Lonchura striata: one gene and its partner. Each later gene encodes a partner of the first gene's protein in a complex. Links are inferred from orthologs where the notes say so. Each region holds a gene or a part of one and is shown in the gene's direction. Other genes may lie near its edges.

Region 1 (3,901 bases):
CTCGTATAGGGTAGCTTATGACATTGGAGAACATTGTCTAATGCTCTTCATAATGTTTTATTGCAATGCACACTTTTAGGTATTGGTTTTGATCCAAAAATTGCTATTATCCATGGATAAGACAATGTTTATTTTTATTAGCTCTTCAGAATGTTATGTGTAATAAATATAATTCGCGCCATTCCTTGTATGAAATATGTAATATTGGATATTTGTTAAATCATGCCCGTCGTATTAGTTTCCCCCCCCCCTCCCCCTTTACAGGCGAGACTGGATGTATATTAGAAACTGATTTACAAGTAAAAGGATGTGGCTCGGCCAGGAGATGGGCCATATCTGGGCTCCAGGTGTTGATCATCACCATCGGTGCTGATCGTCTGAGATGGATATCATGGAAATCCTTAGACAGATCCATGTGAATGCAGCCTTCCCGTAAACTCTCATCAAGAATTCAACTACTCCGAATTCAACTACTCTGGACATTGAATTATTTCTCCTCATCACCAAAAAAAGAAAATCTTATTAACCTATAGACTCTGAATAGAAGAAAAGACTAACTGCTCAAATCTTGGCCTCAGGTGGAATTTTCCCTATAAAAACCACTCGGGCCAGGATGGAGGTGTGTGGGCATAGGGGAAAACCTCTGCTGAGGCTGACTCCTTGTTGCACACCCAGGGCCGACCCCGGGCTCGGCTCTGTTCTTTCCGTGTGGCTGGCTAGATAGAATTTGACCGCTAATAAAATTATTTTTATTTTTAATCTGGCTGAATAAATTCTCATTTATAACACCAACCAAGGCTTTTTTTCCATCCTGAAGCAGGAATGACTTTGCACTCCAGGGTGAAAGCGACAGATGAGAGGACATAGCCATATGCTGTACCAGTGGAGGTTCACGTTGGCCATTAGGAGGAATTTTATCACAGAAAGGGTGTTTGAGTATTGGGATGAACTGCCCGGGGAGAAGTGGTATTGTCACCGTCCCTGGAAGTGTTTAAGACTGGATGTGGCAGTTAGTGCCATGGTCTAGTTGATCAGGTGTTGTTTGATCATAGGTTGCACTCGACGATCTCAGAGATCTTTTCCAAGCTAACAGATTCCGTGATTCTGTGAAATGCCTTCCTTAGCAGAACGGTCTGACAGTAACACGTGAGTACGAACAGGAGACCCCAGGGACATTATCTAGGCGAGGCTTCACATCAGAAAGTCCTCGTGTCCCACCTGCGGGCTTGCGGGCGCTTCTCCAGCGACACTTCCGCCAGTGGGGGTTGTGAGCGCGGCGCGGACAGAGCCCCGCGCAGCGCAGAGCAGGAACGGGACTACAACCCCCGGCGCGCCCCGCGGCCGCTGCCGCGCGCGCCCCGCAGCCTGGCGACACCGGCTGCAGTGCGGCAGCGGAGCGCGCCCCGTGACGTCGCGACGCAGCAGCCAATCCCGGAGCGGGGAGCAGAACTGCCGGCGTTCAAATCCTCCGCCTCCCCCGCCCGCCCCTCACCCAGCGGCCCCGGCGCGGCGGCAGCGGCGTGAGGCTCCCGCGCCTTCCCCGGTGGCGGAATCCCCGAGGAGGTGAGGGCAGAGGCGGCAGCCGCCGTCTCCGTTAGCGGCCGGCGGAGGGGGCCGTGCGTGCGGGGGGGCGATCCCGCGGGCTGACGCGCCCCTCGGCCCCGCCTGCGGGGGGCGCTCCCACGCGCAGGCGGGGCCCCCCGCTCGCGTCGCGCGTGTCCGGCGGCGGGTCCCCCACGCGCTCCGCTGCCCGCGCGGGGCGGCAAGGGGCGTTCCGGCCGCGTGGGGCGGGGCCGTGCGGCCTGCGCTCGGCGGCTCCCGCGGGGCAAGAGCGGCGCTGGGGGCTGTCAGCGGCCGGCCGGGCGGGCACTCGGGCTGTCGCCCCGCGCTGCCCGGTGCCCCGTGGCTGGGCGAGCAGCACGTAGCTGGTGCGTTGGTTGTTGGGGTAGATGAAGTGTTGTAACTAAAGTATGCGTCTGAACTAACTTTTTCGATCATAGGGGAACGTAAAGTTTCATACATCCCTTAAGTGAAAAGGAAACCTGTCTTTAGGCGTTTCCAGATCTTGGTTGTGTTTGCCAAACGGACTACCTCTTCCTTCTTTCCTTCTTTCCTTCTTTCCTTCTTTCCTTCTTTCCTTCTTTCCTTCTTTCCTTCTTTCCTTCTTTCCTTCTTTCCTTCTTTCCTTCTTTCCTTCTTTCCTTCTTTCCTTCTTTCCTTCTTTCCTTCTTTCCTTCTTTCCTTCTTTCCTTCTTTCCTTCTTTCCTTCCTTCCCAAAAGCTTTTTCAGCGTAAGAATTAACAGTAACGAGACCTCTGGTAGGTTGACAGGTGGGTGTGGGTGACATGTGCTATAAAACATGCTTCAGGATGTGTATGTTGAGATTAGAAGGTAGTCTATGTGTAAGGTGAAGAACAACAAAGGTGATTCAAGGGAAAGAGAAGCCAGGAGGATGTGAACATCTGTAAGAAAGATGATCATAATAGATTAGAAATTATTTTTAAGAGTAAAGTTGTTAACTTTACTCTTAAACTAGGTGGACAGGCTGACTTCTGCAGATAGTAACTTATGTTCCTATCTGGTAAAGCCTTCATGGTTTGGAGGATGTCCTCTTTCTTCTCAGTGTTGGATTGGCAGAGGCTGGGCGTGTCCATGAGTTTGGTATCTGGGTGTCTAGTAGGACTGGAATAAGCTATGTGGGTTTGATGCCTGAAGTTTTAGCTTTCATGTTTTTCAGGTTCTGTACTGCCTTAGTGTGTAACTCTGAACTTCATATAAAGTGTTAGCAAGTTCTCTTCACAGGGCAGGTAGACAAAACAATCCTTTTCCAGCCTGAGAACCAAGGACACTGTTGCAGCTTCATGCCCAAAAAGTGTGAACAACAGCAAATTGAGGAAAGCCATCTGGGAGGATGGGACTTCATAACCTGAAGCTGTAATTGGACAATTAACCCCAACATGGAAATAGACCAAAACTTATAAAATATGAAACCTCATGATCAGGTGTCCATCTTGGGTGGAGTCATGGCTGGTCTGCTGTACTGCCCAAGGTTTATCTTTTGAAGGCCTTTTAATAAACACCTACTTTATTGCTTTAACTCTGTCTAGCCTCTGTTCAGGTAGCCACAGTAGGCATCAGTTTCTTTCTACTGGCAGCAACTACTTGAGAGGATAGTCATCCTAGAAAAATTATGTTGCTCAGCCTTGGAGATTTTCACCCCCTGTTTCCAAAAGTGATATTAAAATTAAAGACCCCTGAAAAGAAGTCATACTCTGGGGAAGCTGGGGTATCAGGAGGAAAGTGTGCAGAGGAAAATATACAGTTTTCCTATAGAGGATATTTTAAAACCAGCACTATTGACCTCAAGCAGCTACAAGAGTGTGGGGTCACTTCTAATCAGACAGGAATGGAAGGGAACCAGTTTTCTGTTGCAGGAATGGAACTTCATCCCTTCTGACATCTAAAGTCTAAGTGTGGGGTTTCTAAGCATTAGTTGTGTGTAGCCTTTTATCTCAGCAGAGACAGTGGGATAAGAAATGTACTCTAGTTATTGTGCTCAATGGATGGAGGGCAGTTCCTTCAGCCAGTGATTAATATTCATTAAATAATGCTATGCAGATGCTACCAGACATGGCTAGCTTCAAATTTGTGCCTCAAGGCTAGATGCTCATTAATTTATTTTAAGTGTAAGATCATCCTGTTTAACGTGTGATGAATTTGTGTGGAACATCTGAAAGGAGAGAGCACCCAGGAAGCTGAGAGAGTTTTGTATGCAGCACACAGTGTTTTCAGCAACTCGATGGTTCTGGAACTGTGCTGACAAGGGCACTTCTGGGAATATCACTGAAAAGGAAAAGCAACTGTTCATTCTAGCTTGCTTTGGAGAGCATGGGAAGCATGC
Region 2 (3,901 bases), on another chromosome or scaffold:
CAGAGCCCCAGGATATGCCCAGCAAGCTCATGATGCCAGGTGCCCCACCAAAGCCCGGCGACCGAGCCCTGGAGTAGGGAAAGCTGACTCTGTGCGAGTGCAAAACCTCCTGACCCCCCATAGGGACAAAGTTCCTGACTCTTGGAGTCGGGAAAGCCCCCTGACCCCCCAAGGGGACAAAGTTCCTGACTCTTGGAGTCGGGAAAGCCCCCTGACCCCCCAAGGGGACAAAGTTCCTGACTCTTGGAGTCGGAAAAGCCCCCTGACCCCCCAAGGGGACAAAGTTCCCGACTCAACGAGCTCCGAGACGGCAAAACCTCCTGACTCTAGGAGAGGACAAAGCTCCGGACCCAGCCGTGCCAGCGCTGTCGGGGCCGGCTGGGGGAGAGAAAAGGGGACAGGAGCAGGAGAGGCAGAAATAGCCCAAATTTTAGCCTGGAAGTGTTGCAGAACGCACGCGCGCATCGCTCCAGCCCGGCGAGCGCGCGCTCCGGGAACGGGCACGGGAGGGGCGGGGCGAGCGGGGCCGGGGCGGGGCGAGCGGGGCCGGGGCGGGGCGAGCGGGGCGGGGCGAGCGGGGCTGGGGCGGGGCGAGCGGGGCTGGGGCGGGTCCAGGGGCGGGGTGTGTTCGGTCGTGGGCGGAGCCGGACGGGGCAGTGGGCGGGTCCATCAGGGCTGCGGGCGGCTCTATTAGAGTTAGCGGGCGGCTCTATCAGGGCTGCGGGCGAGTCCCGCCGAGCCGCGGGCCGGTCCCTCAGGCAGTGGGCGGCTTTATCAGGACTGCGGGCCGGTCCCTCAGGCAGTGGGCGGGTCCCTCGGAGCCGCGGGCGGACCCCTCAGGCAGTGGCCGGCTCTATTAGGGCTGTGGGCGGCTCTATCCGGCCAGCGGGCCGGTCCCTTAGGCAGTGGACGTGTCACTAAGGGCAGCGGGCGGCTCTTTCAGGGCAGCGGGCGGCTCTCTCAGGCAGCGGGCGGGTCCCTCAGGCAGCGGGCGGTCCCCGGGCAGTGGGCGGGTCCCTCAGGCAGCGGGCGGGTCCCTCAGGCAGCGGGCGGATCCCTCAGGCAGCGGGCGGTCCCCGGGCAGCGGGCGGTCCCCGGGCAGCGGGCTCTATCCGGGCAGCGGGCGGGTCCCTCAGGCAGTGGGCGGCTCTATCCGGGCAGCGGGCGGTCCCCGGGCAGCGGGCTCTATCCGGGCAGCGGGCGGGTCCCTCAGGCAGTGGGCGGCTCTATCCGGGCAGCGGGCGGTCCCCGGGCAGCGGGCTCTATCCGGGCAGCGGGCGGGTCCCTCAGGCAGCGGGCGGTCCCCGGGCAGCGGGCGGTCCCCGGGCAGCGGGCTCTATCCGGGCAGCGGGCGGGTCCCTCAGGCAGCGGGCGTGTCCCTCAGGCAGCGGGCGGTCCCCGGGCAGCGGGCGGTCCCCGGGCAGCGGGCTCTATCCGGGCAGCGGGCGGGTCCCTCAGGCAGCGGGCGTGTCCCTCAGGCAGCGGGCGGTCCCCGGGCAGCGGGCGGGTCCCTCAGGCAGCGGGCGGTCCCCGGGCAGCGGGCGGTCCCCGGGCAGCGGGCTCTATCCGGGCAGCGGGCGGGTCCCTCAGGCAGCGGGCGGTCCCCGGGCAGCGGGCTCTATCCGGGCGCCGCCGCTGCGGCGCGGGGCGGGGCGCGCCGCCGGAAGTGCGCGCGGTCCATGTACCAATGGCTGCTCGCGGTCCTCCGCGCTCTCCGCGATGCCGCCCGCCAGGCCCCGGCCCCGGCCCTCGCCCTCAGCCCGGAGCCGCCGCCCCGAAAGAAACCGCCCCCCAGGTCAGCCCTGCCCGCCGCGCCTCCGCCCCGCCCGGCCGCCGTGCGGGTGTGGAAAATGCCCGGCGAGCGCCAGGTGCTGCCCGCAGCTGTGGCGGTGACTGCGGGTCCCGGATAGCGCCGGCCCATGCGCGGCCCCCAGGTGTTGCCTCCAGCCCCTGTTCATCTGCTCGGGGCGGGAGGGCTGGAGCAGGTGCTGGGGCAGCAGCAGGGCACACGCACCCCTGGGGACAGCTGGCTGGAAGGATGCCACGCACCGCGGATAGGAGCAGGATGCCGCCCCGGGCGCTAGCCGTGCTGCTGGCGGTGGCCGGAGCCGCTCGGGATGTACGGTGTGCAGGCTCCGGGAGGCCGTGCCCGCTGTCCCATCGCCGAGTGACACGAGGGAATGTGTCTGGAAACAGCCGCGCGTTGCTCCAGTGGCTGTCACTGAGGAGCAGCTCAGAAGGAATTGGCTCTTGTGGGGGGGAGGAATAAAAATAGGAACGTTCTTTGCGCCCTGTTCCTAAAGAACACGTTTTTACCGGACTTAAGTAGCAACTGATAAAAATCCTTGCGTTTAGGCTTGTGGGAAGGGGTGAGGTTGGTAATTGTTTCAAGGATTTGTTCCCGAGCTGACTCAGCAGGAAGCTGCTGGAGTGGATGTAAGCAGCACTGGCATTCCCACCTCGCATTTCCTGTTCTACCTAAACTTTCCTTTGCAGCTCAGCGTAGTGACATGGACTTGGGTGGCTTAGTGACCTCTGGAGTGCTTCTTTCCTGGAGGAAAGAGGACAGCATTACCTATTAAGGCACTTTTTGGTGATAGGAACAAATGCAGAACACGAGGAAGAAAGAGAAGAGGCCTGATCTGCTTTAGTGGGATGATCAGCCCTCTGGGAGATGATCCTGGGGAAGCAGGAAAGCCCCCTTTGGAAGTTTGGGCCTGCTGGGAGCTGAATTGTGCTTGCAAACATGGTTTTGTCTGTTCTTCCCTCAGTGTTCTGTCACCTGTGGAAGATCCTGATGAGATCCCGGCAAAGAGGCTGAAAACAGGTATTGCCCCTCAGAGAGGTTTGATATGCCTCATTTTCCTTGGGTTTGGGGTACCTTGGGGAACTCTGGGATTGCTGCTGAAGCTGAGGATTTTTTAGCCAGTCTTGTGGCTGGAGGGGGTCTCATGGGGCCTGGGTCTGTTGATGATGTGTGCCAGTGTTCATGGATGTGGCACTTGGGCACATGGGTCAGTGGTGGCCTTGGCAGTGCTGTGGGAACAGTTGGACTTGATGACCTTATAGGGTTTATCCAACCTTAATGGTTGTCTGATTTTCAAACCAAGTGGAGGATGGGAGATCCTGGTCAGATGAAGGCAGGAACAGAAGCAGGGAACAACTTTTTCCATCCTGGGAGGGCCATGTCTTTGCACCAAGGATAAATCCTGGCTGGGGCAGGGCATGGCATGTCCCAGCTCTCTCTGGCACTGAGCCCTGCAGGGCAGCACAAAGAGCATTTTCAGTGAAGGCTGTTGCAGTTCCATGGGGGATGTGGAGATTCCTAATTCCTTCTTGGGAGCAAGATCCTCAGGGATGGGGTGGGGGGGTGCTGCTGGGCTGTTGCTGTGTTGTTGAAATGAGTTACCTGCTCCATGTGGGCTCAAGGAGCTGGGCTTGGGTGTAAGCAGAAATCCCAACCTCTGCTTCCATTCCCATTCTTCATGAGCTGGTGGTGTGGTTTTTCCAGAATGTGTCTCTGGGGCTAACAAGGAGCCTGAAGAGGTTTCTGTGGCTGACAAGTTGCTACCTAAGGCAACAAGTAGAAGCCAGGAGACTGAAGAGAGAGATGACTTCTCTGAGGCTGAAGAGAAGGTGAGCAAGGATTTTGATGGGAACTCGGGGATCAGCTCCCACAATCCCTGCAGGTGTTAGAGCCTGTGTAACAAAAGTGGTGCCATCAGTGCCCCTGCCTTCTGCTGCAACCCAAGCAAAACCATGGGCTCTGAGTCAGAACACAGCTGACTGGATTTCAGGAAAGGGAGGTGCTTGCTTGGATTCACATTCAGGTTATGCTCACTCTGGTATTTGCTTTTATTTCAGGTTGTGTACATTTCTTCTGACTCTTCATTTGCAGCAT

The links.
Region 2: the proteins of RANGAP1 (region 1) and SENP2 are in contact, whole or in part, in a crystal structure (PDB 2IO3), measured with the Homo sapiens proteins. The link is inferred for Lonchura striata from reciprocal best matches to the Homo sapiens genes RANGAP1 and SENP2. Residues at the interface, in NP_001265580.1 of Homo sapiens: Glu467, Asn508, Thr511, Thr514, Arg515, Val518, His519, Leu523, Lys524, Ser525, Glu526, Asp527, Val529; in NP_067640.2 of Homo sapiens: Tyr408, His409, Trp410, Val477, His478, Asp495, Met497, Gly498, Gln499, Lys500, Pro536, His537, Gln541, Gln542, Asn544, Gly545.

What each region holds. Positions count from the first base shown.
Region 1 is NC_134607.1:58,518,388-58,522,288, forward strand, and holds the start of RANGAP1 (ran GTPase-activating protein 1), read left to right. Parts: upstream 1-1,477; 5' UTR 1,478-1,563; intron 1,564-3,901. UniProt on the Homo sapiens protein: GTPase activator for RAN. Converts cytoplasmic GTP-bound RAN to GDP-bound RAN, which is essential for RAN-mediated nuclear import and export. Mediates dissociation of cargo from nuclear export complexes containing XPO1, RAN and RANBP2 after nuclear export.
Region 2 is NC_134612.1:5,573,610-5,577,510, forward strand, and holds the start of SENP2 (sentrin-specific protease 2), read left to right. Parts: upstream 1-1,650; 5' UTR 1,651-1,679; coding exon 1,680-1,795; intron 1,796-2,771; coding exon 2,772-2,827; intron 2,828-3,511; coding exon 3,512-3,636; intron 3,637-3,864; coding exon 3,865-3,901. UniProt on the Homo sapiens protein: Protease that catalyzes two essential functions in the SUMO pathway.